3 linked regions of the Notamacropus eugenii genome follow. The protein of the gene in region 3 purifies or fractionates together with the protein of the main gene of each other region. This does not show direct contact. Links are inferred from orthologs where the notes say so. Each region holds a gene or a part of one and is shown on either strand. Other genes may lie near its edges. The genes, in order: TNKS1BP1, CTNNB1 and FHL2.

Evidence for each region.
Region 1: the proteins of FHL2 (region 3) and TNKS1BP1 purify together in Homo sapiens (affinity purification with mass spectrometry; 3 studies listed by BioGRID and IntAct, with this or other methods). This does not show direct contact. The link is inferred for Notamacropus eugenii from reciprocal best matches to the Homo sapiens genes FHL2 and TNKS1BP1.
Region 2: the proteins of FHL2 (region 3) and CTNNB1 purify together in Homo sapiens (affinity purification with western blotting; 3 studies listed by BioGRID, with this or other methods). This does not show direct contact. The link is inferred for Notamacropus eugenii from reciprocal best matches to the Homo sapiens genes FHL2 and CTNNB1.

The regions. Positions count from the first base shown.
Region 1 is NC_092873.1:2,911,871-2,922,073, forward strand, and holds the start of TNKS1BP1 (182 kDa tankyrase-1-binding protein), read right to left. Parts: upstream 4,510-10,203; 5' UTR 4,392-4,509; intron 3,662-4,391; exon of another isoform or gene 3,607-3,661; intron 2,166-3,606; exon of another isoform or gene 2,085-2,165; intron 2,055-2,084; exon of another isoform or gene 1,965-2,054; intron 1,699-1,964; 5' UTR 1,684-1,698; coding exon 1,590-1,683; intron 199-1,589; coding exon 1-198. Other genes in the region: FACT complex subunit SSRP1, read right to left, coding at 6,722-6,799, 8,137-8,320, 9,201-9,295, 9,484-9,654, 9,944-10,073.
Region 2 is NC_092874.1:44,338,648-44,348,850, reverse strand, and holds the start of CTNNB1 (catenin beta-1), read right to left. Parts: upstream 5,862-10,203; 5' UTR 5,747-5,861; intron 4,097-5,746; exon of another isoform or gene 3,650-4,096; intron 1-3,649. UniProt on the Homo sapiens protein: Key downstream component of the canonical Wnt signaling pathway.
Region 3 is NC_092877.1:200,471,009-200,481,211, forward strand, and holds the start of FHL2 (four and a half LIM domains protein 2), read right to left. Parts: upstream 7,029-10,203; 5' UTR 6,939-7,028; intron 1-6,938. UniProt on the Homo sapiens protein: May function as a molecular transmitter linking various signaling pathways to transcriptional regulation. Negatively regulates the transcriptional repressor E4F1 and may function in cell growth.

The sequences.
Region 1 (10,203 bases), on a different chromosome or scaffold from region 3:
GGCGCTTGCTGCCACTGTAGGGCTGTGGTCCTGCCAGCATGTTCATTTTCCTGGCAGAAGGTAGCTCAGCCAATGGGCCTCGGGGGGGTCTTGGCCCCAGTGGCACCAGCAGACTGGGTTTGGCTGGCAGAGCTGGCTTGGCAGGCAGCGTCCGGGGCTCAGGTTTGGGCTTTACTGGGGGTTTGGCCTTTGAGTCCCCTACAAAAAAGAGGAGGCAGGGAGGGGAAGATGTGAGAGATGTTGGAAAGCACATCACTGATGGCCAAGTCAATGAAAACAACACAAATGAGGCGACAAGATAATACTGGCACATTCATAGACCCACAGAGTCACAGCTCCAGGGCTAAAAGCCATCTTCCCCATAGGCCGTCTCATCTAAACCCCTCATTTTGCAGAGGAGGAAACTAAGGCCAGAGGCCTTTAGGGCAGCACCATCAGACCCCCTCAGCTCCCTTTTGACTTCCTCTGACTTTCTTCAAGACTATTTCAACTCTACCTTATGCAGGAGCGCTCTCCCAGGCCCAGGCTGCCATCATCTTCCCCTCCCTTTGCTACAAGAGATCGTCAGACCTAGGCACTTACATGTCTCTACCACTAAAACGTCAGGTTCTTGAGGGCAGGTGACAGTGTTTTTGCCTTTCTTGTTAACCCCAAGGGGCCTGCCACGTACAAAATGTTTGGTGACTGTCACTTCAGCCTCACAACATTTGGTCAAGCACATACTAGAGCATGCTGCGTATATGAGCTAGCTGGCACAGGGAATAAAGTGCTGGGCCTGGAGTGAGGAAGGCCTAAGCTCAACTCCAACTTCAGACACTTACTAGCTATAGGACCCTGGGCAAGGCACTTAACCTCTGCCTCAGTTTCTTCATTTGTAAAATGGGGATCATAATGGCACCTACTAATAATTGCAAAATGCTTATCAAAGTAGCACAGAGTGGGCACCATATAATTGCTACCTATTAATCTATTTTTAGAGAAAAGGAAACAGGCTTAGAGTACCTGATTAAATTGCCTGTGGCCACACAGTCATTCAGCACCAGCAACAGGACCCTGAGAGGGCTTCTGAATGCCAAGGCCAGTGTTCTTCGTGCCCTAATACTGCCTCTTTTATCCTAAGTACCCCCAAATCCTCCTGGGGCTTCCAGTACTCTGAGGAAGGGGGACACTCAGACTCCAATTATCCCCATAGGGTTCACTCTTCATTCTAGCCTGGCTCACCCTCCACATCCCAGGCCATCCCGTGGAGCAGGGGCTGAAACCCTCCTGGAGTGCCAGTCAGGAATGACCTGGGGGCTTTCTCCACCCCTGCTTCCCAATGACATGATTCACCCTGAGTCACTTGTCCCGTCCTCAAGCAGTGGTCTCTCTGATAATAAGCAGAGAACTCCAGACTTCTTCATGAGGAAGTGTGTGACTCGATGCCCTCTCAAATTCCTTCCATCTCCAAAGTTCTCTCCTATTTTCTGTGTCACTCCCCTCCCGCTTCCTCTGGCCCCCGCTTTCCCATCATGGGCTCCCAGGCTCATTCCTGGGAGAACAGTGTCTCCCTCCCCAGACACCCAGCTCCACCCTATTCCCATCTGTACCTGGCACTGGGTCAGCCAGCAGCAGCTCCTCCTCCATCTCTTGGGGGGGCCGGGAAGCCATGGGGGAGCTTTCCCTGAGAGTGGATAAATTCATCACATGCAGCAAACCCTAAAGAAGGAACACAAGAGCAGGGGAGAAAGAGGGAGAGGAGACAGCCAGGATTAGGGGTCAAGAGAAGCTGAATTTGGGCAGGGAGGGAGGGAGGGGAGAGGGCGGAGGGCTAGGCAAGGAGAACTCCGGAAAAGGGAAAAAACTTGAAGGGAAAAAAGTGGGGTACCCAGCAGCAAGCATGGGCCCTGGAACAACTCCAAAGCCCTCTTGTCCCCCAAAGCTCTCCGGAACAGCCCAGTCTCCTAACCAGGACCCCACTTTACCTTTCCCACAGTCACAGCTGCCCCACACCCACCCCACTGTGGGTACCAAGTTGGGCACCAGACTGAAAGGGGCACTTGGGCCTCAGAGGCTGAGCTTTCCCGTGAATCACTTCACCTCACCTCGTGGGGGACGGGAAAAACCCGCTCCACATCAACCTGCAACTGCTCCGCCCCGGTGCCCCAGTCCCTTCCTTGTCTCCCTCCCTCAGCAGGGAGTGGTTCCCACCCCCTGGCTCCCCCCTCTTTTGCCTCCCCAGCCCTCCCTCAAGAGCCCTGTCAGAGCTGCCTCCATCCAAACACGGAAAAACAGGGAATAAAAAGTAAACATCTGGAATACATTTTTCCTTTTTTTTTTTTTTTAAATTTCTCAATCGTTTTTGGCGTCGGGCTGGAATTTGATGAGGTAAAGCCAGGGCCTGTGCCTGTTGCTATAGCAATGGCCTCCCACTGGATTTCCAGCTCTTCGCCAAGAGGCAGAAGGAGAAGGCCCTGCACCCATAGAGAACTGGGTAAGGGCTCTAGAAGCCCTGACTCCTGCTGCCAAGACCCAAAGGCTGGTTACGCATCCTTTAAAGAAGTGACAGGTCTGCTGGGACTGGGTATGGGCCTCCAGGTTGACAGGAAGGGATTGGGGGAGGAGGAGAGAGCCACAGCGGAAGAAAGCTTGCCGAGCCACACCATTCCACTACAGAAAGAGGCCAAGGACTTCAAAGAGCCTACCTGGAGAGTGGACAACTCCTGTCCACCCCTCCCTTACTCTCTCCATATTTAGGACATAACTGTATCAAACGGGAACTGTTTCCTTGCCTCAGTCACCAGACAGACCTGCCTCTCACCCTCCTAAGCATTCCTAGCCCTTTCCATTAACTCCCACACTTCCCTCGTTCTGGTATGTCACCTCCTTGATGGCTCCCAAACTGCTCCAACTTCCCTATCCTACCCTGTAACCTCTTAGCTCCAGCCCACAGAACCAGGACCCTATCTACCTGATGGGGGGGAGGGGGAATCTAACACACTAGCACCTTTTCCTCTCTGGTCAGTCAGTGTCTCAAGGTTCCTTCCCATCATCTAATTCACACAACCTGCACCTGATCTCCACTGGGTGGGGTGGCTGGGCCTAACCATCCCTCTATGGCACACACCCCAGCTGGCTCTGGAAAAAAACAAAATCACACTGAATTCTAAGGGCCTGGTTTTTGCAAATCTGACACACACACCCCCCTTTCCCTTCACAAAGCAGGAAGGAACTGAATGAAGTCAGGCAGCCTACATGGAGAAAAAATGCAATGGTGCCAATGTTGTTGGGGGGGGGAGGGTTAGGGGAGAAGGGGAGAGGGTATTTCTTACAAAAAGGAAACCAACAGTAGGTCTTCTTAAGGTCTTAACCACTGAAAGAATTGGGGGGGGAGGGGGAATTACCAGGATAAGAGGGAGTCACTGAGAATCTGTCTCACCTACAAGGGCAGTCAGAGCGAGTAAAGAGCAGTAGGAAAGACAGGACTGAGAACAAGGTGGGAGAAGGATTAGGGAGAGAGGTCCATCCTGCAAGCTCAGGGTCAGGAGCCCACGGGTCTAGATGACCATAGGTGGCCAGGCGAAGCAATGGATAACAAGCCCTGGAAGGAAACCCGAGGGGGGGCACCTGGAAGGGATCGGCTCTGAAGCCTCCTGACTCCGGCCTGCAGAGCCGTCTGGAACAAGGGCCCTGCCCCAGGGGGACAACGACTTCCTTCCGGGGGGAGGGGGGGAGGCCGAAGGGGGGGCGAGGTCTCCTTGGCCTTTGTGTCCCAGCACCCATCACCCACCGCGCCGAGCACCGGGTCGGTGTTCTTTGATGGATACCGTGCGGGCTTGCAGACTGGGGGGGGGGGGGGGGGGCCGGGGAGGCAGCGCGGGGCCGGGGCCGTACGCAGGACAAGCTGCAGCAGGTGCGGGGACTGACGCGGCCGAGCCCCCGGGGGGCGCGGGATCGGGACCTGGGTCGGGGGCAGTTGCGGGAGGACGCGGGGAAGCCACTCGTCACCCCGGCGCAGCCCAAGTCGCTCCCGCAGGTCCCCCGCCCCGTCTCCACCCCCAGCTGCCACCGCCCCCGGCCCCCTCCCCCGCCCCGCCCCCAGCCCCCTCCCCCAGCCCTCCCACTCTTTCTTCCCGGCTTTTCTCAGGATTTCGGAGGCGACTCGGCCTCGGCGGCTCTTCGAGCGTGAGCTCTCCAGCTTTTCTGGGGAGGGAGCCTGAGTGCGCCCCCCGGCTCCTGCCCCCGCCCACGCACGAGCTCCCCTACCCGGGGCACGAGCTTCCGCGGCCCTCGAGGCCACCCCGACCACGCGGCCCCCCCCCCACCCCGGCCCCCTCCTCCTCCCGCTCCCCCCCCCACGCGCGGGCCCCGCCCCCTCCTCCGCCGGGTCGCCCCAACTCGCGCGCACTCACGCGCTCCCCGGGGCTCCGGCTCGTCTCCGCTGCTCGGCCCGCGTCCCCGCTCTTCGCCCCGGCCCGGCCCCAGCCTCAGCCGCCGCCGTCACCGCGGGACAGACCTACTGAGAGTCCCGGGTGAGGCCCCGCCCCCTCATCGCCCGGTCCCGCCCCCAGACCGCTCATGCATATTCATGAGATGGTCGGCCCCGCCCAAAACGCCCCCGGGCGGAGCGCGGCTGCCCAACCTCGCCGAGGGCTCGTGGGCTCCGCCTTCCCCACTATTATTTATGAATATGTAAACGAGGGGCGCGCCGGGCACTCGGCCTTCACCCGCCACTGGCGCCACTAGGCCGCAGAAACTGCTTCAGAAGGGTCGGGGACCACCGAGGCGACCGGCTAGAGTGTCCCGGGCGGTGAGCCGGAGGAGCGGAGGCCCCGTGGCCCCAAGCTTCGAGCGCCGCCATAGAGAGGAGCCTTGGAACCCCTCAGAGCAGCTTCCTACGCACCTCCCCGGGGGCATGGGGGCAGCGTCGGTGCCCACCTAGCCTTTACACGGACAGAAACCGAGTCCCGAGCGCTCCCCCGGGCGAGCCCACCCAGCCCTGTGACTTTACAGATGAGGAAACTGCAGCCCCGAGGGGCTTGGCCGGAGGCCCCGAGGACGCCTGGGCCGCAGGCGCGATTGCGCCCAGTAGGTTGTTTAAGGGGCCCCTGGAGAGTGACGGATCCCGAGGCTTTCCGCTCAGGCAGGAACCAAGTAACCGCAACCAAGTTTTCCTGCGCCTCCCAGGGAGAGGCTCGAAAAGCATGGGGCAAACCTGAAGGCCCATCACCGAGGTGACCCTTAACAGCTCCGACCCCGGGGCTGAAGGCTGCCCCGGGAAACGACCCCACCCTCAGCTTCCAGAGGAGCAAACAGGCCCCGGGGCAAAAGCCAGGCTTAGACCCCAAATCACCTCGGCAGTGATTCTCGCCCTGGCTTCTGTGAGCTTGTACGTGTATGTGTATTTTATATGAATATATAACATAGGCATGTATTAAGAAAAGCTTTGCTTCCTTTGTAATTCTAGGCATTTAAATACCCCGAGATTTCACCGGACTGCCAAAGGGCTCCATGAAACAAACAAGTTTCTGGACCAGGTGTTGGTATCTAAAGACCTATCTATATATTACAAGGACCAAGTTCAATACAGGGCCTGGTTCAGATTTCATTTGTAAAGGGAACTCTCAATGAGAAAACTCCCTCTACCAGTAAAGGTCAGCCCTGCAGTCTTCATATTTGCCTAGAACGCTGAAGTTCCAGGAGTTAGCCAAGGTCACGTTAGAGGCAGGGCTTGCAGGCTCCAAGGGCAAAACTGGGCTGATTTGATTCTCAGATTCAGTATAGAGAATAGGGCATGCACAGGCCCATCAGCCCTCCTGCATATCAGATTCTCCATCCTCTCTAATAATGGTTCTGTACCATTGCGTACACCTCTTCGACTCGTGTTTCTTCTGCCCAGATTACAGGAGGCCACTCAATCCTGATTTAATTATCACATGCCTAGAGATCGCTGTGGCTCACAGGTGATTATGTTTGGAGACAAGAGCTCAAATACAGCCCAGATAATGGAGCAGGATGGCTGGGCAACCTTTCCTAATTAGATCAGTGGCCACTTCCCAAATCTCAAGTGGTTCATCCTGGGAGCAGGGGGTGAAAATAATCACTCAGATCGGAATTAAGAGGAATGTACCTGAAGACTGGATTCCCGGCCATGGTGCGCTCGCACCCCCCCCTTCCCCCCCCTCCCCCCCCCAACCAACAGGAAGCAAGGAGTGAGCTTGCTGCTTCAGCTGAAAAGTGTCCTAGGCGAGAGGACCAACAGCGTGGTGGAGGTCCTTTTGAACACGGCTGCTAAAGTCACTTTGCTTTATTAAATCGTTTTTTTGTGACTTCCACTGACAGAGATACAAAATAAAAATAGAAATAGGCCCCGGCAAGGGGCTACAAGGCTGGCCCTGTGTGACCCCCACTGCAGCTTCCCAAGAGTTGCCAAGGGAGAGAGAAGGGATCAGCTGGCAGTACCGTGGAGAGGAAAGCAGAGCCTGGGTTGAAGCTTTTAGGTCCCACATAACCTGTGCTCCAACCTTCACCTTCCCAGATTCAACTGTGCCACACCTGTGAAGCAGTGCAGAGGATAAACCCTCCCTGCCCAGTCACTCAAGTCCATAAATCAAGGAGGGCTGCACTGCAAGCTGAGTCCAGGGATTATTTCTCAGTTTAGGGGCTGCTGGTAACAGGGTATGGATGGAAACTGTAGATGGGGAGTTGGGAGAGCGACAGGGACAGCAGGGGAGATGCTGCTCTACTCCTCATCAGACCCAGATCCTGATTCTTCCGAGCTGGGAGGTGTGCTGGCCAGTTCTTCCTCTTCTTCAGAATCCTGTGGGAATACAGAGGGGACCATGGAGGTGAGGTTCACGCACCCAGTTGCCCAAAGCACCATTTCTTCCAAATGTCATACCCTTCCCAAGCCCACTGGCTCAGTCTTGCTCCCCCATCTCTTGCCCTCACATGAGGGTACTTGGAATATACATACTGATGTGCTTTCAAATACTATAATCCTCAATCCACTCAATTCCCAGGACGACCTCTACTCCAACATAGGGTTAAGGTCAGATCCTGGAACCCACAAGTGTTCCACTTCCTTGTGCACTGACTTCATCATCCTGCAAGATCCCATCAGCTGACATGATTCCCCCCTCACTACTCTGCCCCCATCAACTCCAAAATTTCCACGTAAGGAGAGAGTTCAGTTCAGAATATAGCCTCTCTCAACTTGCTCTCCTCTGGGACTTCTAAGACTTTTCCACCATGCGGCTTCCTCCTCCCCCCTCCCCACATTCCAACCTTTAATATGTTTTTTTCCCCTTAAAACATAAGCTCCTTGAGGGCAGGGTAACATCTTTTTTTTTCCTATTTGTATTCTTAGCACAATGCCTGGCTTACATAGTAAGCACATAAATACTTAATAACTGATTGTATCCCACCCTCAAGTCTTTCTGAGTTAATCCCATCCCCAAGGGCCTGGTAGACACCTCAGATAGCCCATGAGAAGCTCAAACTCAACAGGGTAAGACAGAACTTGTCTTCCCTTCCCTCCCCCAAAGCTTCTGAACTTCCCTGTCACAGTCAAGGGCACCACCATCCTTCGTCACCCATAGTGTTATCTCAGCACCTGTTGCCTCAAGTCTCTCCCCTCTCCAGCCCATCCTCCACAAAGCTGCCAAGGCAACTTTTCTGACTGTGTTCCCAGCTCAATGAGCTCCAGGATCATATAAAAATTCTTCTATTTGGTACTTAAAACCCTTCATAAACAAGCCCTTTCAAATATTTCCAATCTTCTGACTTTTCTTCCCTCCACATACTCTACACTCCAGCAAAGTTGGCCTACCACCAACAGGACACTACTCTCACTGCCTCTGGGCCTAGGCTGGTACCCAGGCCTGGAATTCTGATCCTGGCATCTTACTTTCTTTAGCTCAAACCCTGCCCTCTGCTTTCCAAAGCTGCTCCTGCCTTCCTGCCTCAGATCACCTTCCACCTGCTCTGTAGATACCTTATTTCTCTGCCACTTCTCTCATCTGAATGTCAGCTTTGAGGATAACAGACTCTCTTTATAACCTAGCTCTTACATCAAGGCTGGGCTCAGAGAGTCCAGGCTAACCAAAAACGTCCTCAGTGGGGCTCCAGACCCCATATGCCCCTCATGTGTCCTACCTCACTCCTCCTCCTCTTCTTTTTGCTCTTGTTTTCACCTGAAGAACTCTCATCACTTGACACAAATTCTCTGCTCTTGAAGCTCTCACTCAGTTGTTTGGATGAAGACTTGGACGAGCCTTTGGAAGGTGCAGATTTTTTCTCCACCTTCACCTTTCCCTTCTTCTTCTTCTTTGACTTATCCCTGTAGACAACATGACTTAAGACTGGAAGCTCCTACCACTCCTACAACTCCCACCACCCCTGGGGTCAAGTCCTAGGCATTCCCTTGCCCCTTCCAAAGGGAGCACAGAAGATCTTCTCCAAACCCCAGCCCTGCCTCCTGATTCCTAACACCTAAGTGCTTCACACAACAGTTTCTCTCCAGCAAGCAGCAACATTGCTACCTTATTCCCCTGCAACTTTTTTCCCCCAACCATCTCAGCTCCCAACTGGCTTCTTCAGGGTTATGATGATAGAAGGTGAAATATTTCACCCCAGTTCTACAATTTTCCTTGAGGATTGGCTCTGGATCCATCCTTTGTCCAAACATTCCCTAATCTCTTTTTACATGTGCCCACTGCCTATTTCCTGCCACCCTCTCCCAGCAAAATCTAAGTCCCCTGAGAGCAAGGGGTACGTCACCGGTTTAATCTTTGTACCCCCAACACCTCGAGGTGCACCTCACATAGAGACACAAGAAACACATGCTGGATTTGTACTTGTTGAAATACGGAGCCCAAAGCTCAAGAGGGATCCCCCCTGCATCAAGGCCATGTGAGGAATGTTACCCAACCTCTGAAACTTTCCTATGAGGGGGAAAGCAACTGACCTCCAAGAGATTCCCCTCCACAGACATAACAGTTTGGAAGTTTTCCCCTTCTTGGAGCCAAACTGCCTCTCTGAAACTTCCACTCACTGCTCCTGGTTCTGTCCTCGGGGCCAAATCTAATTTGCTCTCTTCACATTACTTAAATCAAGAGATCACTCTCCGCTCTCCTCCCTTCTGGCAGGCCACAGCAGCCTCACCACTGTATTCACCTCATCTGGGAACGCTTTGCCCAGTGCCCAGAGTCAATACTTACTTCCTGTAAGACGACTCAGCTCGGCCCCCTTCACTGTATTCCTTCATGGCTTTCTCATATTCCCTCTTGGCCTCCTCAGCCTTTCGGTCCCATTCCTACCATCCCACAAAAAAACACACATAAGTGACAGACAGCTGGTCCCTATTCACAAGATGAAATTCCCTTCCTTTCCCTGGTGATGTTTTCAGCTACCCACTATCTTCCCCACACTGCTTCATCACAACCCACCCAGGAAATGAATCCCCCCCCCCAACCCTACCCTGCTGACTCTGCCACTCCTTACCTCTTTCTTGTCTTTGCTCATCCCCTTCCAGATCTCTCCTGCTTTCTTAGAGAGATCAGTGATGCTGATGCCCGGGTGGTCGGACTTGATCTTTTCCCGACTAGCATTAAGCCACAACATGTAGGCAGACATGGGTCTCTTTGGGGCATTGGGATCTTTGCCCTTCTTACCCTAGAGGAGAAGGGGTAAGCCCAAGTGTGCTCATTCCCCCTGAACCCCCAAGCTGCACCATCTCCCTTGGGCTCCCACAGGGAGACACCTAAAGGAGAGACCATGGATAAGAGGTCCCTTTCCCTCCAATGGAAGTGCAGCTCCCGGGATGCAAAAAGGGCCTGGACCAACTGCACGCTCCCACAAGCTGATCCGAAGACTACCTGCCCCCCTACCCTCATTCTTGACCACAGACAAGAGCCTCTGTGGCGCCTGGGGGATTGGCAGTGCTCCCAACGATGGGCCTCACCTCCACAGGCTTCTTCCGGGACTTCCGCTCCTTGACCACCTTGGCTTTCTTGGCCAGTTTCTTCTTCTTTTCATCTCTGTCGCTGTCACCCTCATTACTAGAGGAGCTGGCAGAGGCATTGCTGTCAAACCTGGTGGGAAGAGAGGGCTTAGAAAGGAGAGAGGCCAAGAGGAAGCTCCCCTCTCCACCCCCACCCAGCCAGGACAGCTGAGCAGCCATAGAAAGTCATGAGGCTGAAAGCTCCTCATAGGCCTCTAACC
Region 2 (10,203 bases), on a different chromosome or scaffold from region 3:
ATACTAGCACAGTTATATTCCTAAATGTAGCATAAGTGCCCATACTTATTCTTAAATTCATTAGGTTGTGCTATCTGGGAGCTTTAAATTTGCCAACTGTATAATAATGGTCATTCTCAAATGTTTTTAATTCTTAAACCCCTACAAATTTGTTACCATTAGCCTTCTTCTCCTAGCTTCCTAATTCATCTTAAGTCACCACTGGATTACAGACAGGAGCATGAATGTTTGAGGAGGTCCCACAGTTTATTACTCCCATTACTAACACCAGTAACAGCTGTTTAGCAGTAGGAGCTGGGCTTTCATGATTTCAACAAAATATTCATTCAAAAATTAAGTACCTACTAAGTGGCAGATACTAGGGAGAAACAAACTAAATAGAACAGTGCTCTCAAGGTCTAATGGGTATGACACACCCAAATACAAAACAGATTGTGGACCTAAGAAAAAGGTTTAAGGGACAAAACTATCACCTCAAAGTGCTGAGCACGGCGTAAAGGGCAGATGGGAATCAGGGTCCAGAGAGGCAGCTCCAAATAACAGAAGTGTCTTGGACTTCATTTTAAGGACAGTGAGTTGTGAACTTTTAAGTCAGGAGAAACCTGGTTTCAATTCGGCTTCTGACACCCGTGCAACCTTGGACCTGTCTGAGTTTCAAGTTTCTTAAACTATAAAATGGCATGAAATACCTTCAACAATCTAATACGGTAGGGTACTGCATAAAGACAGTGCTTACAAAATCTTAACTGTATATCTTGGAAAACATATTTCGACTAGGTCTCTACCTCAATGTAAGCTCCTTGAAGGCAGGGACATTCTCATCATATCCCATTCTCTGCATATTCTACACAGGATACCTGTTCAGTGTTTGTGGGATTAAGTCCTGAAACACAGCCGGTGTATATTAAGCAGGAGATTGTACAACTGGAGGCATTCCCAAGTATAGTGAACAAGACCAAAAGCTGAAGTGAGAAGAGGAACTACGAAGTAAACCTTAACAGATTCATGTTGGTAGCTTCCACTTAAGGCTCACTAATGATTTGGCTCACTGTGACTTGGAGGGCACCAAGTAAGAAGGGCAAGATCTTTAATTCTTAGGAGTTAAATCATCAGACAGTGACCAGGTAAATTTCTCCGAAGTGGGGGGAAGGCCAGGGAGAAGAAAAGGGAAGCAATAGCAATCCATACATACAGAAGGGGGTTTACAATCTGTCGAGTTCCCACAACAATGAAGTCACAACTTTTTAAAAAATCATTTTTGTACAAAGTATTTATGTATATACCCGAGGCTCTCAAATATTAGTAACAGCTTTGTTGAACCCTCTTAGTCCCTTAATTAAGCCTCATTAAGAACCTGAGCTGATCTCCTAGTAGTAAAATGGATAGTCAAGGCAGTTTTTAGTGGGTTTTATGAGGATTTCAAATGCTAAACTTACTTCTCAAAACTTTCATATTTAAGTAGTTTCTACAGTTAACTTTCAGAAAATACATTTAATTTCAAACTTTTAAAAGTTCCTCAATGAGACTATTGCCATAATAGCCTTGAATCTTTTATTCTGCAACATTGATCAATCACTCACCTCAGAAATAAATAGTCTAATGCAGATATTCTTAACCTAGGGTCTATAAACTTTTTTTGGCAGTATTCTTATAAGTATATTTTAACAACTAGTTTCCTATGTCATCTTATATACTTTGTGCATTTAAAAACATTCTGAAAGGCGATCCATAGGATTCAACAAACTGCCAAAGAGATCCATGATACACTCAAAAATTAAGAAATCCTGATCTAATTTGTTATGAAGAAAGTATAAAAGAAACAGGAACAGAAAACACCAGTCACCTGTGAGTGGCAATTTTTGCTTTAAAATAATGTATCAAAAGATTTATTATTCCAAAGTAAAAATTAAGTCTCATTAAAGTACAAATGGAATTAATTCCTTAATTCAAGCAACCAGTAGACTGCACCATTAACATCACAAGATATCCAATAAGCTTTTTCAGTGAAGTTGAAGCAAAAAACTTGAAGACACTTGGAAATCATCAAACCTACCCAAGACTGACTGAACCAGAATAATTGAGTGATATCTTAAATCATAAGACTACATATAAAAGATATAACTTCACTGAACTAAAATCTGAAAACTCGTTGCTTCTGACTAAAACCTGTCTCAAAGAAACCTTCGAGTATCCAAGTTTATGTCTAGTCTACAAAGCTCTCATTTCACTAAAACCACTCCTAGATTTCCTTTTGCCGACCTCCGCATACCAGCAGCGAGCCTCTCACTCCATGCACCACTCACATACTTTGGGGGAGGGGAGACAGATGTCTGTAAAATACAAAGTAGGGAACAATGCATATTTCGAGAGAGAAGAAAACGAAGAAAACCATTACACAGAAATGCGAAGCGTTTCAAGCTGGAGAAAAATGTTAAGTATATAGTTGATAACACAGAGCCTGTTGTGGGAACTTCCTTCCCAAATCCCTTTCGAAACAGTCTCTACCCTAGACAAAACATTGAGAGAAGTTGCCTTGTATCAAGTTTCACTTGGTCAATTTAGTAGCGAAAAGAAAAAGAAACTCAACTCACCACAAAAAGCTTTAAAAGTTAGGAGTTACTGTAACGACACAAATATTCCTAAATCAGTTAGGAAACAAAATAAAGACACGAAGCCTAATGGTAGATAGATATCAGATTCTATTTGATTCAAACCAGTCGGGTAGCACCCAAGTAAGCAAACCCTAAAATCTCTGCTGTTCCTGAGTTTGGCTCAGATTAAAAGTTGCTTGGTTTTCATGTTCCAGTGCCAGATGTAGCAGAAAAAGCATCTCCGGTAGGAGTGCTGCTCAAATCCACATAGTAGTGAAATGCCACAAACACAATATTATTCTTTTTAAAATAAAAAACATGTACGTATATGTATATACACATATGAAACCTTTCTCTCGGTTCCGTAAAGAAAACACAGATCTGAAGCGAAAAATCACTTCTCACATCCCAGCCCTGACCAAGAGGACCAGACTTTCCCCCTTCCCCACGGATTGCTAGCAAATAGGAACCCCTCAAACTGGCCCGCAAAGTCCACGGTTCTCAGAACTACGAACCCTTCTGGGGGAGCGGAACCTCCACGTTCCCCGCCGAGCTCTGCAAAAGCTGAGGCTGGATCCAGAGGCGGCACCCCCACCCCAAAGTAAGAAAGCCCCCGCACGATCCCCGACGCTCCCACTTCTCAGGAACATCGGGACTCTGCCCCCCGCAGAGCGCGCCCCCCATCTCCTCCAGAAGCCCCTGCCGCCCAGGATACCCCTCCCTCTCTTCCAGAGGTCCCTGCCCCCTCCCCCTCCCCGTAGCGCGCCTGGTCCACCACCGAGGGGAGGCTGCCCGCCCCCGACCCGGCCCCGGGGCTCCCTCCCGGCGGGCCGCGGCCCCTCGACCCCCCTTCCCGGAGGCGGGCAGCCCCATCCATGCGCCCCTCGCCGGGCCGGGGCCGGGCCCGCCGCAGCCTTCCGAGCCGGGCCGGGCCGAACCGAGCCGGGTCGGGCCGGGCCCGCCAGCCACGCCACCCCGCCCCGCCGCCCGTCCCTCCCTCCCACTCGGGGCTCGCGCCTCCGAGGAAGTTTCGCCCCGGAGAGCGAGCGCACAAGCACCTCAGGGGAACGGCCGCCGCCCGCCGCCGGGGTCCCTTCGCCTCCGCACTCCGGCTGCTGCCCCGCCGCGCTCCGCTCCGCTCGCTCGACGTCGCCCAGAGCCGCCTCAGCGCCAGCGCCCTCCGCCTTCCGCCTCCGCCGGCTCCCTTCCACGGGATCCTCCTCCTGCCACGGGCCGAGAGGCTTAAAATGGCGCCGCACACGGAGCTCTTATACGGCGCGCAGGACCCCGTGTATCCTGCCGCCGAGGCCGCAGCAGCCGCCGGCGCCGCGCGGAGCGTTCCACCGCGCGGGGGAGGGAGCGAAGGAGGGGGAGGGGCGGGATGGAAGACGGGGAAAATAGTCCCCACGCCCTGCCGCGGCAGAGCCAGCCGGGAGGCGGCCGAGAGGACGCCCGCGGGGGCCGGGGACTGCCGCCTCGGCGCTGCCCACACCCCCGGGCCCCGAGCGGCGGCGGGAGGGGCGGGCGGAGGCCGCGGCCCCGCCAAGCGTAGCCACAGCGTGGGGGTGCAGTGATCTGGGGAAGGGGCGGGGGTGTGATGAGGCCCGGAGCCTCCTCTTCCCGAGGTGGGAGCCCGAGACTAGTTCTTGGGAGGAGGGGGAGGGGCAGCAGGGGGAGGGCGGCCTTAAAGGGGCAGCGGTGGCGTGACTGCGGCCCCCCCTCCCATGCACACTCGCCTTCTCCTTCTCTACCCCCCCAACCCGCGCGGACCCCGGCACACAATGGAAACCCAATCCCTCCCCAGCTGCCCCCCTCCACACTGTCGGGCCTTCCTGGCCCCGGCCCGTCCCCTTTTCCCTGCAAGGTCTAACTTTAAGAAGAAATAAACGCACCCGCCATCCTCGGGCCTTCCACCCAATGGGAGCGGGAGGCTCGGGCCGCGCGGGGTCCGCGGGGCACTCCGCGCCCCCGGGGTTCTGGGGTGGGGAAAATACTACTTTAACCCCGGGGCCCAGGGGCGCGCCCGGCGCCGGAGCCTAGCGCGCGCTGCACTCCCCGCGCCCCATCCCGAGGAGCCCGGGGGCGCGAGGGGGAAAGCCGGGGGAGCGGGAGGAGGAGGGCTCCACGGACGGGGGCGCTAATGGGGGTCCCCGCTAGCGCCAGGCCCCCTCAGATGCTCTGGGAAGTTGAGCCGCCGGAGCGCAGGGGAGGCCCGGAGGCGGGGGTGCCAGCGACCCCCTCCAGCCCTCCTGCGCTTTCGGGGATGCCTCGGGGGCCACGACCCTCTTCTTTTCCTGCCTTCCCCCCTTTATTCCTCTCATCCTCTCCTTTGAAGCTTTTCCTTCCTTTCGTCCTTTATTCCAGTCTCCCTTTCCTTTAAACTTTCTACCCTCCTTCATTCCTTTTCCTCTCTTTTAAAGCTTTTTTCTTTCTCTTCCTAAGTCTTCCTTTCCTTTTCAACTTCCTTCCTATCTTCCTCTCCTTTTAAGCTTTCTTTTCTTTCTCCGTCTCTCAAGTCTTTTCTTTCTCTTTCTCTCTTCTTTCTCTTCTCTCTCTCTTTCTTTCTTTCTCTCTTTCTTTCTTTTCATCCAATCAGACATTTCTCCGTAGACAACTGCTTAGCATCCTTCACTTTTCCCTGCGCCCCTGCTCCATCTCTCTTGCGAGTCCCACAGGCGACCCTCTTTTTCTTGGCCGAACAAGATGTGACCTCCCCAAAGTGCACTTTCCACCACCCCGCCCCACCCGCCAGACTGCTTGATGGAAAAAATGTTTGGGTATCTGGGAGTGAGCAGAGAGACTTGCGGGGCGCGAGGGCTGTCTCCAGGCTCCGGCCCGCGCCCTGCTGCTTCAGCTCTCGCTGTGCCAAGGATGCCAGGCTTGGCCGGGGTGGGGGTACATGCCCCATGCCCTCCCCCGGCTACTTCTGCTCGCTTTGGGCCGAGGGAGCCAGGTTAGACGGAGAACCCGACCCCCGACGCCCCTCTTGCCTTCTCCCGGGGTTTGCAGGCTCCGCGGCCGCCGGGCAGGCTTTGCTCCCCCCGCTTCCCCTTCTAGTGAATCCTAATTCGGTGGACGAGGGGAAGGAGCGTCCGAGGGCAGCGCTCCGGACTCCAAGGAGGCCGACAAAAGGAGCGTCTAGGCTGAATTCGTACCCTGCGTCCTCAGCCGGCGTTCTGCCACCAGTGCGCACATACCCCAGCCAGCCTCCGCAGCAGGCCAGGCAGAGGGGAGGAAGGCGGCTTCTACCTGCCCTGGGAGGCGCTGGAACGCGGAAGGTGCTTGGAGGGAAGTTGGGTTCCTCCTTCCCTCCCGTGGGACTGGGAAGGCGAGAGCTGCATATCCGGACAAAGAAGGGCTGGGGCCTCACGCCCCCTCCCCGCTTGGCCGAGCCAGGTGGGCACCAGCCTCTCAAGGTCTGGCTAACACTTGTTCAAGGGCAACTGGTTTCTCGATTTGGGTCCTTCAGGTGTGATTTAGGGTGTTTCTCCACAGCACAATGCAAAAGATAACTTTCGCCTTTAGGGAAATGTATCGGTGTAGACTGCCAAGATAGATAACTCCCAAAGAATTTCTTTAAAAAAAAATTGCGCCACTTGAGAAGCCCATACTGATCTAATTTACCAAGTGATTACTCAAACACAATTTAATCTAATTATTACATATATGTGTAAAAATATCCACACATGTAATAATTATATATTACATATAAATGATATAATTGTGCCTATGTAATGTTCCCTGACAAAAAAAAAAAGACTATCTTGGGAAAATCCTGCGGAGGCCCCTTCATCCTGAAGCTGATTTTATAAGATGTTCTTTTTGTAACGGTTTATTGATATTTTCTATCCCACTGTTATTTTTCCAATACCCCCCCAAGAACCCTCCATTTTAACCAAAAAGAAAAAAAACAACTTTTAAGTCAAATCCAAGTTCAACAAACCCATAGGGCATCATGTCTGACCTGTAATACAGAATACAATACAATATTCTGTTCCCACAGACTACCAGTTATCTATAAGAATGAGGGAAAAGTACTTCATCTTTCAGCCTCTGGAACACAGATTGGATAAGACAAGTATTCTTTTTCTGCAGATATGTATAATTTGGTGAGGCACACCTTCAAAATAATAACCATTTTCCATTCCTACTTTAGAGACATGAGTTATTATTTAAATAATCAAGAAGTCCTAGTTCACTATGTCTTTACTGATAGCAACTATCGAAGTATAATTTAGGATTATGGATTAACTTAAAATAATCTTTGAATTACATTTGCTTTCCTAAAAATCATTCACAAAATTCCATTTTTTACTTTAGTTCAACTGTGCTGAGAAATGTGTTGTCATGTCTATGGCTTTATTTGTGGGTTTAGGGGTGTGTATGTGTGTGTGTGTGTGTGAATTTTTGTAGTGCCTTTTGTCTAAGAAGTTCAAGTATGTAGTTTACAAATATCCCCGCCTAATATGCAATCTCTACTTATTTTCAAACAAAATCTACTAATCCCCTCACATACACACACCCTCCAAAAGACCTATCTTCTCTAATTTGTTCTGACAGGCTGAAATTAGGGGCATTTTCAAGGAAAAAAAATGGAGATGCATTAGTAATCTAACAATGTATTTGTCAAAGCTTGATCATATGATAGAATGACTTTTCTTTTGTCTTGAGCTTTTTTCCTCATTTAACACAGAGACAAGCAACAAAGGTTATCTTAGTGGCTATATAGAATAGCTGTAATTAATGCATTCACAAAGAATGGGCCTTTGCGTATAGGTATTACTCTGGAAATCTAGTTATTCACTTTCCCGGGATGAATTCATGGTATAGTTTTTGTAGTTTCACAGTCTTTCAGAGCTGATTTGTTCTTTAAATAAATCTGTTTTGTGACTGCACTAAAGACAATTTTGCCACATTCTCTTTTTTTTATGTCAAATACCATTCAGACAAATATATGTATGTTTCTGCAATGGAGAAAGCCTAACTACAAAGATGATATTCAGATAATGACTTAAATCCCTTGCTTAGAACAATATTCTCCCTGTTTGTCTGTGTGACTTTGCAGGGAGTTCTATAGATTCTTCTCATAATATCACAGATGCTAAAGAACAGATAAGCATAAATCATAGATTAAGGTAAACTTAATTGGTCATAATTCCAGTGGAGCAAAATATAAAATATAGCTACTCCTTTAAAATTTTTTAAAGTAGCAAAGTTCCTGACAATTTAAGACAAATCAAACATCCTGTTCTCAAATCTTTGATCCTAAATCCCAGGCTAAATATACACATTATGATTAATTTGCTTAATTATGATTTAATTTTTTAAAACTACTGAATAAATACCAAATGATTTTTAAAAGAAATGATGCCATTCACATGTTTATCATTTTTTAAATGCAGCAAGCTATTACATTGAAAGAAATGGCTTTCTTTCCTTTTATTGCCATTTAAAAGCTAAAAAACCCACACACTTACACTTTGTTCTCCAAAGAGGTGCACAAATGGATGGTCTGCTTCTGCAAGTTGAGTATTTTAGTCCAACTGCAGAAATATGGTTTTCAATTCTTGAGCCTAAATAAACACTGATTTTTAATATAAATCAGAAACATTGCAGTGACACAGTAAGTGATTATTTGTCTCAATCAAACTCCAATTATGAAAGAACCATTGTTCATGATCACAGTAAAACAAGTTAGTTGAATTTGACAGTAGCAGTTCCAATTATTTCCTTGAAAATATGAGATGAATAGCGTGTGGAATGAAGATAGATATTGTTATCATGGTAGGGAGAATATCAGGGATCAAAATATAAGATTAGTCAGTCAAATAAGTGATACTAAAATGTTATTGTTATTGACTATGCACATTTGTTTCAGAAATACACATGACTCTCATTTTTTACTCACTTTTCTGTTCTAGAGTCAGTCCCTTGTATTTGACATAAATTAATTCAATTTGTGAATCTTCAGCAGCCGTTAAGTTCTGAATTTCAGGGTGTGTTTATAGAAACCAAAAATGTCTCCAGCTGATTTCACCATGGAGGCATTAGTCATCGTAATATCTGATTATTGGCTTATCAAGCAGTAGTTATAGTGGAACATGAGTGTAAAGCTTTCTGTTTCTAAAACATGTGTCTTTTAATCACCAGTAGGCAAATGAATAACCAGAATGTTTTGTAAATAAAAGAAATAAACATTAATTCAGCCAACATTATGAGCAAAAGACCCGTTTTGAGCCTGGACAGTTAAATCTCATAGAAATAAACATCCTATCTATCTATCTATCTATCTATCTATCTATCTATCTATCTATCTATATTTTAAAAAGACATCTAATTCTTTACATTGTATACCTTAAGTCAGTGCATATTTCCAGTATTTAGTCAGACTTACAGAGGAAAGAATTATCAAGTCAGAAATCAATAACACCAGCAACCAAGGCGTGACCTCCTTCTCGCCTGTCTTCCCCAGGTCCTTACCTATGGGCAGCACTCCAACCCTAATGTCTAAATGAAGAAGGCTAAGAATACTAAGATTCAATGCAAAAGTAAGACCATATCCTGGCTTTGCCAATAAACACTTGAGCCTGCATGGAATAGAAGGCCAAGTTTCCTTGTTGAAACTGCCCTTGTCCTTGCTTTATGGCAAAACTGAAAACATTAAGCAACCATCAGGATAAGCTTTTCGTTGAACATATCACCAACTGGGCTACGTATGGATCATGAGTTTTGATTTGCAATACATCATCTCAGGGCTCAGTTTAATCTTTTGATTTATTTCCAGCTGAGCAGACTAAGTAGTTGTAAATACCCTTTATCAAACTAGACTGTTGACTACACTCATACACAGGAGTAATCTAAGAATCCACTGGACAAATTCAATGAGGAGTTACAGTGAAAACTTGTGTTTGGTCTTCACCGTAGGGAGAAAGAATCCTAGTGGTGGTGATGGTAACTGGGATGGCAGTAATGGCGGCAACAGCAATGGCAGTTCTATAACCATACAAAGAAAACACAGCACATTTCATTGCTTCATGCCCCTAGTTCTTCAGCAAAGTGAAACAACAGTCCTAGTCAGACCCAACGAGTAAATATTTATGACCACCACTGACAGTAGAGGATGAGCAATGGATACATCGCCTAAGATATATAAAACACAAAATGGTGAGGATTTTTGAGTATCTGTAAAGTGCCAGATAAATATCATCCCATCCCTTAGAAATCATGATTCTGGCCCCCTTTTTATTTCAAAATGGTTGCAGATTTTTTCATTCACGAAAAGGTTAAAGGCGTTTCCCCATCGCAAGAAGGATTATCTTACCGGAGGATTCTGGGACTGCAGATGTATACTGCGGCAAAATCCTAAATTCATCGGAAAAAAATCATTTCTGGACTCCAGCTGCCAAAAATAATAGAATTATAGTAAATCATTGATAAGATTAAAACATCAAGCCATTTTTAGATTCCAAAGTGTTCCAAAAACATGATCCTTTTCTTTTAATTCATTTCTTAAACAATGCAAATTTTAAAGTAGCCTTTCTATCCCGAGCACGCAGCGCCATGAAATCGATAATTTTTGATCTTTCGGTTAGTAGGCAACATGGTGAGCTAT
Region 3 (10,203 bases):
AAAATGCTTTACATCCCCAGAGAAAGAACTGATGGTGTCTGAATACAGATTGAACCACACTTTTTTCTTTTACGTTCTTTATTTTTCTTGACAATGTTTTGGTGTCTATGTTTTCTTTCACAATATGACTATTATGGATATGTTTTACATGACTACACGTGTATAACCTATATCGAATTGCTTGCCTTCTCGATAAGTGAGGGAAAGGGAGGAAGGGAAAGAATTTGGAACTCAAAGTTTTAAAAATGAATGTTAAAAATTGTTTTTACATGCAACTGGGGAAAAATAAAATACTGAATAAGAAAAGAAGCTTGATCTTGTATATACAATATATAAAAGATTGTAATATGTGTATTGTAATACATTATAATATATATTGTATAATACATATATATTCATCAAATAATACGTATTTCTTATTAGCTGATTTTATGCACAGTAATCTCAGATATTTTATAAAGATTATTTTCATGAGGAAGAAGAGGGGAAGAAGACCCATTTGGATGAAGAAATTCAGTAACCAACTTAAAATTTTAAAAGATAGTTAAAGAAGATGAAAGCAAGGACAAGAAATGGAGGATAAATATAAATAGATTGTATGGTCCTTGGTAAGGCTGTTGAAGCTCAAAATGACTGAGGCAGTTAATGAATCAAAATGAAACAAAAATAAGATTTTTTTTTAACTGTTAAAGGCAAAAAGATGTACAAAAAAAGGAGTAGGACCAATGCTCAGGGATGATAATAATGGACAAAGAAGAAAAGTTAGAACTACTAAGTTCTAATTTTGTTTGTGGTTTGAGTGTTATTTTTTTCTGCCAAGAGAAATTATCTTCACATTGAACAGGATAAAACAAACATGGCTAAAAATGACTTCCCAAGCCAAATGTGGTGGCCAACACCTGTAATCCCAGCCACGAGGGATGCCGAGGCTGGCATATTGCTTATGCTTGGTATTTCTAAGCTGCAGTGTGCTAAACTTGTTTGGTGTCCGATTAAAACTTGGCATCAGTAGGATGATCCTCTGGGAGCGGTGGGCCACCAAGTTGATGAAGAAGCCTGAGCTGCCCCAGGTTGAAAACAGCAGATTAAAGCTTCTGTGTGGATCAGCAGTCAGATCAGATCTATGAGTAGGCCCTGAACTTCTATTCTGGGTGAAATAGGGAAGTCCAGTCTTTAAAAACAACAACAAAGCATGAAAACAAACAAAAATAATTCTAGGGGAATCGTTCCCTGATTCCCAGATGCTAGAGCTTTCTTTGCCAAGGTTACCTTGTATTTGATTTGGAGATTTATGCTTATATACACGCTGTCTCCACCAATAAATTTTAAATGTATTTTTTCTCCCTGTATTTGTTTGTGAAGTTTTTTGCCCTAATACATGATCAATTTTTGTGAAAGTGCTATAGACAACTGAGAAAGAGGTATATTTCTTTCTATTCCCATTAAGTTTTCTCCAGAGGTCTATCATATCCAAAGGCTATAAAGCTTCTTGAGTGCAGGATTGTTTTGGTTTTGTCTTTGGATTCTTAGTGCCTAGCATACTCTCAGGCCCAGAGCAGGAACTTAAATAAAAGATTGTTTGATTGATTTGTAAGACAGCACCTAGCTATCCAGCTCAAGTTACTGGAACCAGCTGAACTCTATCTGAGGGTACCAAAAGACCTGGCCGATGTGATTATTGAACTACTCTAATGTATCTTGAAAAGACTGGAGAACTGGAGAGGGTGCTAGAGGACAGGAGGCAGGTGAATAAATGTGGACCTGATATTCAGAAAAGGGAAGAGGGTGGAGTAGGCACAATATAGTATGATGAACTTTGATTTCTGGCAAAATTCTAGAACATATATTTTTAATAAGTTGTGTTTGAGCACTTAGAAAGGGAAGTGGTTATCATTAATAGACTTTTAAAATTTTCATTCACACTGATGTGAACAAAAATATGTTTTATCAGCCTTACCTCATTTCATTTTTTGACAGGGGTATTGATTAGAAGGTGGGAGAATGCCACAGACATACACTATCCAAAATGCAGTCAAAATATCTTTGACAAAATCCTTCTAGCTATTATTACAGATAAGATTGAAAGATGTATGCTAAATGACACTATATAATTAGCTGAATTTGGAACTGGTTTGATGTATTACCAATGGTTTCTATGTCAGACTGGAGTGGTATCTATAGAGGAGTATTCCAGGGGTCTTTCCTTGGCCCAGTGATGTTCAACATTTTTTCTCAATGGCATATTTCTAAAGTTGACAGATGATATGAAGCAGAAATGATAGATAAGATATTGGAGTAGAGTTTCAAGTCAATAGGCTTGAATGAAAGATCAATTCTAATATGAGGAAATTAAGTAGGGAAAAATATAACATAACTTATACATCACTAAGGTAAAAAAAAATCAACTTCACAGTCATAGCATTTATGGTCTAATGTACATTATAGTTATCTGGGGGAGCTAGGTGGTGCAATGGATAGAGTGCCGGGCCTAGAGTCAGGAAAACTCATTCATCTTTGTGAGTTCAAATCTGGTTTTACTTGCTGTGTGACCCTGAGAAAGTCATCTAACCCTGTTTGCCTCTGTTTCCTAATCTGTAAAATGGACTAGAGAAGGAAATGGCAAGCCACTCCAATATCTTTGCCAAGAAAATTCAAATATGGTCACAAAAAGTCAGTCATGACAGAAATGACTGAACAACAACAAAATAAGGAAAATGTAATATAACTTAAATGTCGTTGGGGTAAAATAAATAAATAAACTTCACAGGCACAGCACTTATATTCTAACATATATTATACTTGTTTTTGGACATATCTTATACCCTCTCTATTAGGATGAAAATTTCTTGGAGATAAGAACTTTATCTTGTTTTTCTTTTTTATCTCTAGTATTTAGCATAGTGAATTATAAATAATATGTGCTTCATAAATGTTTGAATTTAATTGAATTAATGAACAAAACTGACTTTTCCTGACCTAAGATGATGATCATTCTCATTCTATTGCTTAAAAATTGAACATTTATTCAAGATAAGTAAAATAAAGTAGTTTTCTATTTAATGACTTCTAAAAAAGACACATGATTGAACTCAGGATGGATGATTGGAAAAAGTATGCATGGTGAATCTTATAACAAGTCATTCTATACTTTATGAAACCTGGAAAGACTTAAATGAACTGATGCTGAATGCAGTGAGTGGAACCAGGAGAACACTATACATAGTAACAGCCACAATGTGCGAGGATTGTTTTTGATAGACTTAGTCCTTCACAGCAGTGCAAGGACCTAAAACATTCCCAGAGGACTCTTGATGCAAAATGCCATCCACATCCAGAGAAAGAACTATGGAATCAGGATGCAAAATGAAGCAGACTATTTTCTCTTTTTTTATGTTTTGTTTTTCTCATGATTTCTCCTATTTGTTTTAATTCTTCTATGCAACATGACTAATGTGAAAATGTGTTTTATAGGAATGTATGTGTAGAGCCCATATAAGATTGCATGCCATCTTGAGGAGTGAGTATGGAGGGAAGGAGAGAAAATTTGGAACTTATGGGAGTGATTGTTGAATAATACTGATATCAACATTTTTGAGCTCTGGGAAACATGCAGCTGGTCTCAGAAGAAATAGACTAAACCAGCATCCTATCGTCCTTCATTTTGTATTTGTACTAAACCACAGATTGACATTACTGAAATTGATCTAGATAGATCAACCTAGGAGAAAGCAGCTTAGGAGCCCAAGCAGCAAACATAACACAGTTACAACTCATCCCTTGTGAAAACAAATGGCTCCCCACAGCTAGTTCAGATATTTCTACCTTCTCTCATTCTAATTAGATGTCACAATGCAAAGAAATGCAAAATGCTTGCAAACCAAAATGGAATTTTTGTATTTTTCCCTTGGCTATATCCTCAATATGCATTTTAGCTCTCCTTTTTCTCTACTACAGGTATTTTTCTTAATACTCATAGGTATGTTGGAAACACATAAACATAGCTTATGTGAATTATTTGAATGGCTTGATGATGACATTAACTTGTTCTGATTTCATTTGACCATTTTTCCATCATCAGTTATTAATTAGAGGAAAAGACTGCTATTAAAATGAATAAAAAGTTTTTTCTTTCTCTATCCTTACTCCTCAAACTTAAAAATGATCTTTCTAGTTTAGAAAAAGTTAACAGCCTCAGGTTCTAAAAATTCTCTGTTAGAAAAAAAATTTGTTTTTACAAGATAGCATTTTAAAAAATAGCATGACATTTATAAAATACATCTGTTAAATACCAAATTCTTCAAAGCACATGTTATTGCTGCTTTTAATTGTCCAACCATGATTTAAAGACCTTTGAGAGTACAATTACAGGAAGCCAAATTAACCTGGGTAGAAAACAAATCAATAAAGTTAGATGCTTGGTGTCATATAGACTAATCTAAAAATTGCTAAACTAATTTTTTTTTCATTTTTTTTGCTGATAATTTTGCTAGAGTAGAAGTAGCTTCACAGTACTCTGGAGCAATTTTCTTTCTGTGTGTTAAATGAGGATCAAATGAGATAACATATATAAAGTGCTTTGAAAACCCAGAAAGTGATAAATTAATATTATTGAATATCAATGAGCTAACTTGATTTTGAATTTGAGATTCTACATCAGGATTAGTGAACTCTCATTTATTCAGAATGGTTTAGGGAAGGATGGCTCTGATTAATTTAATATTGAAGTATGAAGCAACCCTAAAATACACTGACTACAATTTAATTTTTACACTTAAATTTTGTGAAATTCAAATACATGTAGGTTAGATTTGTCACAAATATAGTTGTAATTTATAAATTACATATGGTCTAGTCTGGCCATATACCTATGTACTATAATGCATTTGTGTACACAGAAAGCATACTATATTATCATAATGTATAATAATGTAGCATATGTGTGTGTTGTAAATTATTTTTGTTATACAATGTTCCAAAAGTCTTAGTGCAATTTAAACTTTAATAAGCTGACAACTGCACTAAGACATTTGGAACATACTGTGTTATACGCATATGCATGTTTTTATAGATACGTTTGTGCTAAATGCCAGACCGGATGAATCAAAAGCTGAAATTAAGGTATCTCAGATATGTAAATGATACCATTCTGATGACAGAAAGTGAAGGAGATTAAGCCTCTTGATGAGGGTGACACAGGAGAGTGTAAAAGCTGGCTAGAAGCTTGACATTAAAAAGAAAACCTCTAAGATATTGGCAACTGGTCCCATCATTTCCTGGCAAATAAGGGAAAAGAAACGGAACTCGTGTCAGGTTTTGTATTCTTGGGCTCAAATATCACTGCAATCAGTAACTGCAGTCTGAAATTAAAGTACACTTTCTCCCTAGAAGGAAAGCTATGGCAAATCTAGACAGCGTGCTAGAAAGCAGAGACATCATCTTGCTGACAAAGGTCCATGTAGTCAAAGCTATGACTTTTTCAGTAGCAACGTGTGGCTGTGAGTTAGGCTATAGGGAAAACTGAGCGCCACAGAACTTATGCTTTTAAATTGTGTTGCTGGAGAAGACTTTGGAGAATCCTTTGGACAGCAAGGAGATCAAATCAGTCAATACTCAAAGAAATTAATTCACTTTGTTCACTGGAAGATCAAATACTGAAGCTGAAGTTTAAATACTTTGGCCACATAACGAGAAGATGGAACTCATTGGGAAAGCCTCTGGTGTTGGGAAAGATTGAAGGCAAAAGGCAAATGGAATGGTAGAAGATGAGATGGATAGATAGTGTCATGTAAACAGTGAACGTGAGCTTGGAGAGACTTTGAGAGTGAAGGACATGAAGAAGGATAGAAAGGCCTGGTGTGCTATGGTCCATGGGGTCACAAGGAGTTGAACACGACTGAAAGGCTGAACAACACATTCTGTTTGCCATAAACTCTTGTTTATCATATCTGACCATGAGCCCCATTGTAGAGCAAGCACTTATTACAAGGATGTAGATCTACCATTAGTCAACTCCCCTCCCCCAACATTTCTTAAGCACAAATACAAGTACTTAAAATCTCACGAAATATGACTTGCTTTACAAAGCAGGGGTTAGACTTGGCCCCCAGTACTTACATCCTAAAGGGGTTCCACAAACTGCTTTCTTTCATAGACTGGAGGTAAGAAATAGCACTTGCCTGGCTTCTGAGGAAAAGTAACTAAGCAACCAACATGGGGTGCCAAGGCGTTGGCTGGGCTCTTGCATTCATGACTCAGTCCTAGGCACATCAGGCCAGAGTCCACTGCAAAAGCGTGACTGCATTTCCTTTTGGAAAGCCCACAACAGCTATTTGTGCTTTCATACTATAAGCCATAACAAGTCGTTTTGTTTAAACATACTTTCCCAGTGTGTAATCAGTCTCATCAGTGATTTGCCTTTCACCCAGAGGCACCCGCAGGCCATCAGGAAATGCTGTCACGGAGCAAAGCCTCAAATGCAATATGGAGGTTTTCATCCCTATTTTTTTGTTGTTCTTTATTGTTTCGGAATTTTCCAGTTTCCAAATATTCAGTGTATGTGAAGCAAAAAAGGAAAAAGAAACCCCCTTGCCAAAAACCCCCCAAAAACCCAAACCCTTTTCCATGCAATTTTCTATTTGAATGGGAAGAATGGTCCACATGGAAGGAAAAATATTCTTTCAGCACAGTCTGCAGAGGGACAGGATTTTGCATAATGAGCCCAGCTGTTTAGCACCTGGATGGCAGTCCCAGACTGGCATGAAGAGACATTGTGTAGGCAGAAACGGCTGAAGGGAAAGCTAACAGTTTTTAAAGCTCTCTCCTCCCTAAACATCAAAGCTTCCCCACATTAAGTATTTGTTATCTTGCTGGTAGCCCAGGAACCGGAGAGGAAGGAAGGGGAAAAGAAATTATTGTGGATCAAGTCATTTTGTCCTTACCTCGGCTACAACCCAGTCAGTGGTAGCTCCTTTTGGTCGGCTCCCTTGCCTGAAATGAGAGGACAGCAGCCAGTGCAGGGGTTTACTGCTTTATTGGATTACTCCTAACTATGTCTTTAGTAATTAGACAGGTCTTCTCTTGCCAGAGGGAGCTATAAATACAGTATCACTAAAGGAACAGCCATCCACAAAAGATAAGAACTGAAGCACCTCAGCTATGGAAGCCTTTTAAGGCATCTGAATTAAGACAGCTCAGACTTTCCAATGACAGGGGGCTGCCAGGCTCCCCTTTTGGTCAGTTCAGTCCAAGGACACACTTGTCCTATGTAAATAACTCAGCAAGCAAAGTGGAGGGGGGATATTGGGGAAGGGGGAGAATTTCAGCTTTATCAAGCCTATGACAGACTGTTAGATTGCCACAACTGTGGTGTGTCAGGAACATATTACAGGTTTGGAGGGCCAGGGATAACTTCAGAAGTCAGCCCTTTAGAGGTAGCTTGGAACTGGAAGTACCTTTGACTCAGTCACCCTAAAACACTTGTGGCATCAGTGAGGGCTCTTCCATCATCTTCTAGTGGTGAGCTTTCAAGTCCTGTTCTTGAAACTATTACCCCACAAGACTTTCTTTAATCCTCATGAGAAGATTCACATCGTGAAAATCTTGGCATCACACCCTTGGATAGCCTGTGGGGGGAGTGGGGGCAGTAATAATGAACAACAAGTATGTTTGTAATTCCTGAGCTCCACGTATGTAAGTCAATGTAGAAGACCTTGTGTATTGCTGTTAAGCCTAAGCTAGAAACAGGTGAAATGGAAGAAAAGGAAAGGGAGAGAGAAAGGCTTTCAGAGAAAGGAATGGAAGGAGAAAGAGAAAAAGGAAGGACAAAATAAAAATGAGCATGTGGTAGGAGTGGTGGAATGCTAATAGGGTGCCTCTCAGTCAATAGATAAGCACTTATTAAAAGCTGACTACATCCTTCACCTCAGGGCCAGAAATTATCTAACCATGACTACAATTTAACTTACTGCAAGACATTACATCAGTCCAGATATTATTTAAAGAGTGACTTTTTGTGATCATTTACTTTTATTTCATGCTTCCCTTTGATGCCTCATGGTGTTAAGGAGGTAAGACTGGGTTCTTTTGGGTTATAGCAGCTGAATACATGCTGTAGAACAGAGGTATTAAACACACTGTGGTCTGCAACATGGGAGTCCTGCCTGAACCAAATTAAAATATAATTGGGAAATATTTAATGAAATAAATATATTACATATATGTATATATATACATATTTATAAAAAATAAAATAAATAAAAATACAATAGAACATTGACTTTTAAAGTCAATATATTGATGTATGGATTAGTGGTCCCCCTTTCTATTTGAGTTTAACACATCTGCTCTAGAAGGTCCTATAAAGCTAAAAAATCTTCATAAGATCATGAACCTAGGGCTGGGAGGGTTCTCAGAGGCTACCAGCTTCCAACTCCCTCTTTTTCTAGGGTAGAAAACTGAAGCACAAAGAAGTTGTGACTTGCCCAGGTTGACACAGTTAATATGTATCTGAGGAAGAATTCAAACTCAAGTCTTTCTGACTCCAAGAATTTAGACAAAAAAAAAAAAAAATTCCCAGTACTGTCATGTGTCTGAGAATCATGGAATGCCAATTTCAAAAGAATTAAAATTAAAGGTTACTGAAAGAAAAACGGAAAGATGATTATCACCGTAAGTAGGCTTCTCTATCTACTCTAATACATCACCTTTGATAATGGGAATAATGCATTGCCTTGTCCATAATAGGAACTTAAATGCTTGGTGAATTGAATTGAGAACCGTAGAAGAGCTGCTGATAGGCTGTCATCTAAAGAGTAGTTTAGTTGGAGATCCTGGAAATGCTGAAGTAAGCATTTGACCCCAATAGCTAATCATAAACAACTCTGATTATTTAATTTTGAAAAGTGCACTCACATAAAGCATTTCACAATACTTATTTCAGAAGACAGGAGACTAAAAGGATAGAAGATAATAGGCATGAAAGAGTTGCCCATTGACTATATACGTCACAACAACTATAATAGTACCACTTTCCATGTGTCTAACAAGAATTTTCATGCCCTTTCCAAAAAGCATGGTAATTTTTGCCTATTTCATTTGAATTTGAATACATTTCTAAAGCTCATACAAATTAGTGATGGATCTGAGTTCTACTTCTCAATCCAACCGAAGGTATAATTTCCCCCAAATTTTGAAAGAGCATAAGAGAAAAAGGGAAGTTAAATGACTTTGGACTTCTCTAAGATTATACATTAAGGCACTGGCTGAGTTAAGTAAGATGAGCTGTGCCTTAAGTCCCCAGGATTATCATTAACTCATACCACATCTAATGCTGTTGCTACCCAACAGTGTTATGGAGTGGAAAATTTCATGCACTCATGGAGCTGGGCTAGGTTTTTTGCCAGGGAAATTTTCCTTTCATTCCTCTCTAGACTGCTCTCTGAACTTTCTCTACTGTGCCTGAGAAGCCTTTTCATCCTGAATGCTCATTCCAGGCCTGGAATTCATACAACATAAGTACCCTCCCTTCCTCTGACCTCTCTCTCTGATAGGATGGCTCCTCCTAGAACTTCTATTTAAGGAGGGTGCCCAAGCCAGCCACGTCTCATTTCTCTCCAAATTGTACTCTGGATTTTCTCTACCATGCCCCAGAAAACTTTTCATTTTGGAAGATGAGGAAAGAGGACCAGAGGTTAAAACACTTATCTAAGGTTGTACAAATAGTGAGTGGCAGATCTGGGATTTGAACCCAGATTCCCTCACTAAAACTCAGAGTTCTTTCTACTAAAATTTATTGCCTCATCAATACAATCCACCTAAGAGTTAAGGAGTGCTCCTTTAAGTGTGGTCATATGACACAAGTCATTTTCCTTCCCATATGGGTGGGAAGATGAAGAGATGAGGGTTGGAATGGAAGTCATATCCATCTAGGTGAGAGGACACTATGCCCTAAAACAATGGTGTCAAACTCAAATAGAAATGAATCTTGTAGCTTGACTTGGAAAATCACAAATTAACATTATCTATATTGGATTGTATTTTTATTTATTTTGTTATATATGTCCCATTTGCACTTTTATCTGACTCCAGAAGTACTGGAGAATTTTCCTGGCAGAGGGAAGTTTGATATCATTTCCCTAAAAGATAGGTAATGATCATTTTCACAATGAGTTCAATAATTTTTATAGCACTGACCAGTCAGTGTGG